Linked DNA regions of Ovis aries. The main gene of each other region encodes a partner of the protein of the gene in region 2 in a complex. Links are inferred from orthologs where the notes say so. Each region holds a gene or a part of one and is shown on either strand. Other genes may lie near its edges.

Evidence for each region.
Region 1: the proteins of GHRHR (region 2) and GHRH are in contact, whole or in part, in a cryo-EM structure (PDB 7CZ5), measured with the Homo sapiens proteins. The link is inferred for Ovis aries from reciprocal best matches to the Homo sapiens genes GHRHR and GHRH. Residues at the interface, in NP_000814.2 of Homo sapiens: Leu119, Ala120, Glu122, Glu123, Phe126, Ser127, Val129, Lys130, Tyr133, Val179, Lys182, Leu186, Phe187, Asp190, Thr192, Asp193, His194, Cys195, Phe197, His210, Thr213, Phe217, Ala271, Cys272, Asp274, Leu275, Asp276, Trp282, Ile285, Ile289; in NP_066567.1 of Homo sapiens: Tyr32, Ala33, Asp34, Ala35, Ile36, Phe37, Thr38, Asn39, Ser40, Tyr41, Arg42, Val44, Leu45, Gly46, Gln47, Leu48, Ser49, Ala50, Leu53.

The regions. Positions count from the first base shown.
Region 1 is NC_056066.1:66,191,796-66,195,097, forward strand, and holds part of GHRH (somatoliberin), read right to left. Parts: intron 1,985-3,302; 5' UTR 1,964-1,984; coding exon 1,884-1,963; intron 1,620-1,883; coding exon 1,515-1,619; intron 1-1,514. UniProt on the Homo sapiens protein: GRF is released by the hypothalamus and acts on the adenohypophyse to stimulate the secretion of growth hormone.
Region 2 is NC_056057.1:66,944,726-66,948,833, forward strand, and holds the start of GHRHR (growth hormone-releasing hormone receptor precursor), read right to left. Parts: upstream 2,814-4,108; 5' UTR 2,730-2,813; coding exon 2,673-2,729; exon of another isoform or gene 1,761-2,672; intron 1-1,760.

The DNA of each region.
Region 1 (3,302 bases), on a different chromosome or scaffold from region 2:
ATGAGGAAGCCCCCGGCAAGCCCAATATGAGGGACATTCTATGAAGAACTGCCCTTTACTAATAAAAAATGTCTGTGTCATAAAGACTGAGGAACTGATCCAGACCAAAAGAAACTAAACGCCACCTGTGGCTGGATTGAGTCCTGGATGAGGAAGATCAGTAATTGTTACAGGGACTTCCCTGGTGGCCCAGTGGTTAAGAATCCGCCTTGCACCATGGGCGACATGAGCTCAATCCCTGATGGGGGAACTAAGATCCTACATGCCGCAGAGAAGCTGAGCCCGAGCACCACAGTTCCTAAGCCCGTGTGCTGCAACCAGAGGGTCCACGTGGCACAATGAACGAGCCTGTGTGCTACACTTAAGACCTCATGCAGCCAAAAATATTTTAAAATTTATATAAAGGACATTTTGGGACAACTAGTGAAATTTAAATATGGACTCTAAGTGATAATTATACTGTGATTATATCAGAGAGTATCCTTTGATTAGCTATTAGGAGACACACAAAAGTACTTAAGGATAAAGGGTCATGATGATTATAATTCACTCTCAAATGGTTCAGCAAAACAATAATACTCATAATCATACCTGAGCTTGTGTACGTATGTCTAGACCTGTATCTAGGCATATATATATATATATATATATATATATATATATATATATATATGGAGAGAGAGAGAGAGAGAGTGTGTGTGTGTTTGTGTGTTTGTGTGTACATGCTCAGTCATGTCTGACTCTGCAACCGCATGGACTGTAGCCTGCCAGGCTCCTCTGTCCATGGGATTTTCCAGGCAAGAATAATGGAGTGGGTTGCCATTTCCTCCTCCAGGGACTCTTCCTGACCCACGTCTTCTGCACTGCAGGCAGATTCTTTACCACTGAGTCATCAGGGAAGCCCCAGATATGGAGTAAGCAAATATAGTAAAAAATATTAGGAATTGTTGACTCTTAGGGCAGGGCATGTTAAAGCCCTTTGTGCTATTTCTGCAACTTCTCTGTAAATTTGGAATTTTTTCAAAATGAAAATTAAAACATGTTCAGGCAGTGGAGTCAGGCTGATTGGATGCTAATTCTGCCACTCAGTCGTGTGTGTCCTTTAGAAGCTATTAATGTAGCTTCTGTGTGATGAGGGTAAGAGGACACATCCTTTGTAAAGTTGTTGGAAAGAGCACATAAGAACCTGAGCATAATGGCTGACACTGCCAAGGGCTTGCTCTGCACTGTGCCAGGAGTATATTGATGAACCAGTGCAAAGTCTTTTTTTCTGGTAGAGTCAGTCAAGTGGTGACTACTCTCAGTGTTATTACTGGAGCCCAACTCAGGGACAAGCATCTATGCTCAATGATCATTTATTAGTTAAGGGTTAAGACGAGATTCAACACTGGAGCCCTTCTGCCCTGGCAAGTCCAGAAGTGACAGCTGCTGTGCAAGCGAAGAGACCAGACTTGGTTCCTCCAAATCGTGATGAACCGAGGGTGCAGGGAGAAGTCACGAGAACGCTGGCTCACCCCTGCTGCCTGTTCATGATATCCTGGAGTAGCTTGCGGGCAGACAGCTGGCCCAGAATCTTCCGGTAGCTGTTAGTGAAGATGGCATCTGCGTACCGTGGGATCCTAGGAGGAGTCAGAGGTCAAAGGGTGGGGTGGGAGGCCCAGGGGACTGTGCTCACTTGGTCTCTGTGAGGTTCTTCTGTTGCCTCTTGCCCTGCTCATCCCCAGAGAGGGCTGGAACCAGGGCTGGGTGGTGACCTCTCTGGGGCTCAGTCTCCCTCCCTCCCAGAAATGAGCAAGGGAGGCTGCCTGAGGAGCCAGCTGGGGACCAGCTCGATTCTGCATCCTCAAAGTGCCTCTCTTGCTTCTCTTGTCAGAACTGCTTACCTGAGAGGCTGGGAGGGCAGGGAACCTTGGGAGCCGCTGCTGAGGGTGAGGGTCACGAGGAAGAACACCCAGAGCAGCATCCTTCACCCCTGTGCTGGTACCTGGGAAATGACAGACAGGAAGAAAAGGTCAGGCATAGCCACAGACACTGGGATGCCCTCTGCTAGCTCTGGCCCTCAGCCTGGCTCTGTGAGAGCTATGGTCCTTGTCTTTTGGAAGCTGTGGGGTAGGGAAGATGGAGCAGACTCGAAGTCTGACACACCTGGGTTCAAGTTCTGCCTCTGCCAGTCACAAACTCTGGCCTCATTTTCTCCATCTGTAAAATGGGCATGACAAGGCTATGCTGCTGACCTCACAGGGTTGAACACACAATGAAAGACAATGGTGAAACTACCTCTTCCTATAGGGCATTCTATGTGGGACTCAGGCCTCAGCAAGGAATAATATGTGTGCTAAATCGCTTCAGTCGTGTCCGACACTTTGTGACCCTATGGACTGTAGCCCACCAGGCTCCTCTGTCCGTGGGGATTCTTCAGGCAAGAAGACTGGAGTTGGGGAGGAGCAAACAGCTTCTCATATTTGCCTGAGTCTCCCCCTGCCCCAGTGTGGCACTGACAGCATTAAGTGGGGCTGACAGCTCAGGGTCTGAGTCAGAAAAATCCGAGTTCACATCCAGGCTTGGTCATCACTAGCTGTGCATCCCAGGACTAGGGGCTTCTCCTTTCCAGACCTCAGTTTCTCTGTCCATAAAATGGACTTGATAACTGGACCTACTGCCTAGGGTCATGTGAACATGAACTGAGATGAGGCGCCTGACGTGAGTGGTTGGCACGGGGGCGTTCTTCACGCACCTCTGCTCTGAGGACCTGCTCAGAGGGCAGGCTGTCTTGTTTTGTGTGGACTTGGAGGGAAGGGATAACGGCTGTGCCTCTTGCTCCAGAAATTTAGATTTTGCCCAAGAGTTTTAGCCCTGGAAGAGACCAGGGACCTGGGGAGCCCGGCGGCAGAACCATCTCATAGATCACGTAATTATCCTTAATGGGGGCCTGCTGACACCATGCTCGGCAATTAGGAAGAAGAGTCTACAGGGGACAGAGCCGCCTCTGCTAGGGCCGTGCTCTGCTATCAACCCAGACCGCGGGGTGGAAACCGCTGGGCTCAGGAAGACTCAGTCACCTCAGGGTCAGGACTTCCCATCTCCCAGGGGCATCCCTCTCAGCAGGATGTCCCCTCTAGGGGCATACGGACCCCTCCAGATGCTCGGACAGCCCCGGAAAGGGCAAGAGACACCTCACGGCCCACAATCTCCCTGAGTGGCTCCATTTCTGGCAGGTCTTGCTCAGAAGGGATTTCCAGCAGGCAGGGCCAGCCCGGGAGGAATCCACTTCCATCCCTGGGCTCACTTCTCCTCTCAGGATA
Region 2 (4,108 bases):
TAGGACTTCCCATTTTAACAAGTTCCCCAGGGAGCTTGAGTCAAAGGCAGGAATTCTTAACACCTCTCCCTCCCACTTCCCCAGACTGGAGAAAAGCTGACCATCCAACAGGGCACAGCCCCACACAGACACATGTGAAGGAACTCAGCTTTACAAGACACGCTCCTTACACTGTGAACATGGATCCACAGCCCACGTTTGAATCCAACATGCGCATCAAATTCAATCAGTGTAGATTTCTGTGCCCAAGGATTTACCAGGGAAGAGTGTGGTGAGGAAGGGAGTTAACACTTGGTCCTAATACATCTAATACAAACTGAGCAAGGGCTGGGCAAGCACTATGAGGGCATGGCCCCTCTCACAAGGACTGAGGAGGTGGCATTTGAGCCGAACATATGAAGAGAAAGGAACATATTTTTAGAACGTGCCCAGACAAGAGAGTGGGCAGATGTACCTGAGCTGCGTGAGGGGAGAGCCCTGCCTGTGGCCATCCTCACATCCACATGCACACACACAAGCCCCCAGTGTCTGGCACAGAGTCCATGTCAGCAGGTGGTTCATTAACTCCTAGCGTCCTTTGGCAGGAACCCAGGCGCAGCAAAAGCATAGTGGGTATGAGACAGTGGCTGGGGTCAGAGACTTCAAACACTAGAATGGGAGTAGTCGACAGTAGGTGACCACGTGGAAGGGACCCAAAGGCCAGTGGGCTAGGAGAGGACCTGGAGACCCTGACCAGTAAGGAGGGTCACCCCCAGCAGACCCACCCCTGCAGGGGAGGACACCCCAGTCCTGGCTGGCTGACCCCACTCCCCCAAAGCCAGCTTGGGCTCAGCTCTGCCATCTCCTGCCTGGGCCCTGGGACCTCACGATGCAGATTCCACCTGCAGCTCGGGCTCTGGATCTCCAATCTGGGAACACCTCTTGGCTTCTTCCCAGGACTCAGTGAGCCTAGGGCCACCTCAGAGGAGAGCCCCAGTCTTACCTCCCCAACATGTCCACACAGCAGTCTGATTGTCCACAAGGGGGTAGATGGGGAGGGCGGGGCCTGATATGAGACCATGGGCTCCATCCGCCCCCCTCCCCCTCCACATCTACAATCCCATCCTTCCCTGAGACGCCTTCTCAGGGCCTGACTATGGGACCACCAAGGCCCCTGGTGGGAAGCCTCCCGTCAAAAGGAGAAACAGACAGCCACCACACTTCCCAAGGGAAGAAAAATTCAGGGAAGCTCAACTCATGACCCAGATGTGTGGTCACAGGTGGAAACTGCTAGGGGTGAGAAGACGTGGATCATTCCAAGACTTATCTCAATACTCCGGTTGGATCCCCAGCTCACTGTGGGACCAGGGATCATCTGGCCCACGTCCAGGACCCCACTCCTCCTGAGGGGAGACTGTCATCCTGCATACCTTGGCCTGGCTGACCATGGCTACAGCTGACCTGGGCTCTGTGCAGGACAGAGGCCACACCGGGAGACTGGGGTTTAGTGCTAACCCTGACCCTGGCACCAGTGACTGAGTGACCCCCACAGGATCTCCGTCCCCCTTCTAGAGTAAAGCATTTCCTGTGGGGTGCACACAGATGAGAGGGAGGAAGCCCCACTCTGTGCAGCGCGGGGAGGGAAATAGAAGTCACCCATGATGCGCCGCAGGCCCAGCCTCTGGCAAGTCAGACCCTTCTCCAGGCACAATAGCCCTGGGGGGCAGACGTTATTTTCTTCCTTTACAAAAGAGACAAGTGAGGCTCAGGAAGGGACTTACCTAGGTCACGTGGCGAATTCACAGCACCGGTATCCAAGCTCAAAGGCCGTGCACGGAGAGCAGGTATAGCCCCGGCCACACATACACACTCACACATACATACACTCACACACATGCACACACATTGTCAAACACACACACACTCACATACAAGCCAATGGAGGAAGAGGGCAACCTCAGTCCTGTGAGCTCACAGGAGACTCTGGGAGCCACAGCTTCCAATCTGGGACTGTGTCTCCCATCCTGGTCCCCAAGTCACTGTCACTTGCATTAAACTCTAGGAAAGTACACAAAACATTCAGAGAGGGCCCCTCCTGGCAGCCTGCTCCCTAGCCTTCTAGGCCTCGGGACTGTACCTGATTGTGGAAAGCTACTCAGGGCCCAGGGTGTGCCCTGCGAGGGAAAGGCTCCCAGATGTTGGAAGGGGGAGCAACTTCTCACTTACTACCCAGACACACTCAATCCCTGGCCACACCCTCTTCAAAGGAAGCAATTCAATCAAGTGGCTCCAGGGATCGTGAGGACTGGGAGGGCTCTGCAAGCTTGTCAGAGAAGGAGGTGTGGAGAAAACTCAGGGTGTGAAAGGGAGGCAGAGGTACTGTTTTAGGACAGAGTCTTGCGGCCCCGAGGGTGCAGACAGGCCCTGGGGGATGCAATGGGCAGTTGAACTCAGTTCAACTCCAGGAAGGACGTTTTGCTGTCAGAGGTCCCCAGGGATGAGCAGGCTGCCTGGGAAGGGAGGGGGAGGAGACGTGGGGACCGCAGGTGTCAGGAGTTCTCCAAGCCAGGCCACCAGACTGCTTAGTAGAGAGACTCCTGCGCTGGGGAAGGGCAGTGGGCCCCAGGATGGCCCAGCGGTTCCCAGATCTCAAGCTCAGTGCGGGGCCAGGAGGGTCTGAGCTGGCTACTCACGATTGGCAAGGGGCCCAGCAAGCAGAGGACGCAGGCGCCCCACACCCTGCTGCCCATGGTGGGAGCTCGGCGACGGCTGCCTGGGTCAGCCTCGGTGGCCCTGCGCTCCTTCCACCGTCCCCTGTTGTCACTGCTGCCAGCACGGCCTCTGCTTCTCCTTCCCAGCTGGCTGTCTGCGTAGACAGGAGCCAGTGAAGGGAACAGAACCCACTGAATATTCACCAGGATTACAGAACACCGTGCCCAGCTCCGCCACAGGTTCAGGGTAGAACTCTGCATTCCCGGGGGGAGGGGTTGACTTTGTAAGTCTGCCCATGTCTGTCCTAACATTACCAAGGTCACAGACAAATGGCAGCCACAGGACACCTCTTGCCCCAGTAGGTCAATATTCTTTATAATTTTCTTCTCTGAGCCCAGCCCTCTGAGGCTCCACCGTGGAAAGATTCCCCCCAAATGAAGGAGACTCCGCAAAGAAGAAGGCCTGAGTCCACACTCAGGGAGCCCAGTTTGGTTGTGATCTCAGCCTCATCCACAGGCCTGAAGGATGGGTTCGGAGCCCTGGGGACCCAGCAGAAGTGGGTAGGGTGTCAGTAGAGTCTGGAAAATAGGAATCTTAGAAAAGGAAGTGCAATCATGAAGTCCCCATGCACCCCCATGGGCTGGTCCTAAAGATAGTAGTTTCAGCAAAACCTTGTCTCTGTTCCCAGCAAGGATACCAGTCTGGATGGCGAGGTGAAGTCTGAAGAGACCCAGGCTCTGGACTTTACATGGGGGCTTGTCAAAGTCTCTTCAGAAGTCCATATGGAAACAGGGAAAAACAGGAAGCGTGCAAAAAGATTCACGTAGCTAAGCCATCCTGAGTGGGGGAAAACCAGTGTTATCAGGGGCAGAAACAAGAGAACCTACACAGCAGCTCAGATTAATTTGAGTATTCATTACCCTGTCATTTTTATTATAGTTTCAGACTTTAAAATGAGGGATCTCAGTTGGCCAGGCTAGAAACAGTGTTCTAAATTGCCCAGAACCTTGCACAGCACTGGGGCGTCTGGAAATCACATTAGATCTTCAAGCGTCCCGAAGGTGCCAGTACCTGGCAGGCCCTGCCATCTGTGTGCTGCTGCTGCTCCTGCTAAGTCGCTTCAGTCGTGTCCAACTCTGTGCGACCCCATAGATGGCAGCCCATCAGGCTCTGCCATCCCTGGGATTCTCCAGGCAAGAACACTGGAGTGGGTGGCCATTTCCTTCTCCAATGCCTGACAGTGAAAAGTGAAAGTGAAGTCGCTCAGTCGTGTCCGACTCGTAGCGACCCCATGGACTGCAGCCCACCAGGCTCCTCCGTCCATGGGATTTTCCAGACAAGAGTACTGGAGTGGGGTGCCATTGCCTTCTGTGTGCAGGTCTGCAATCCCAGAGCTTGTCAGGCGGGACTCTGACAC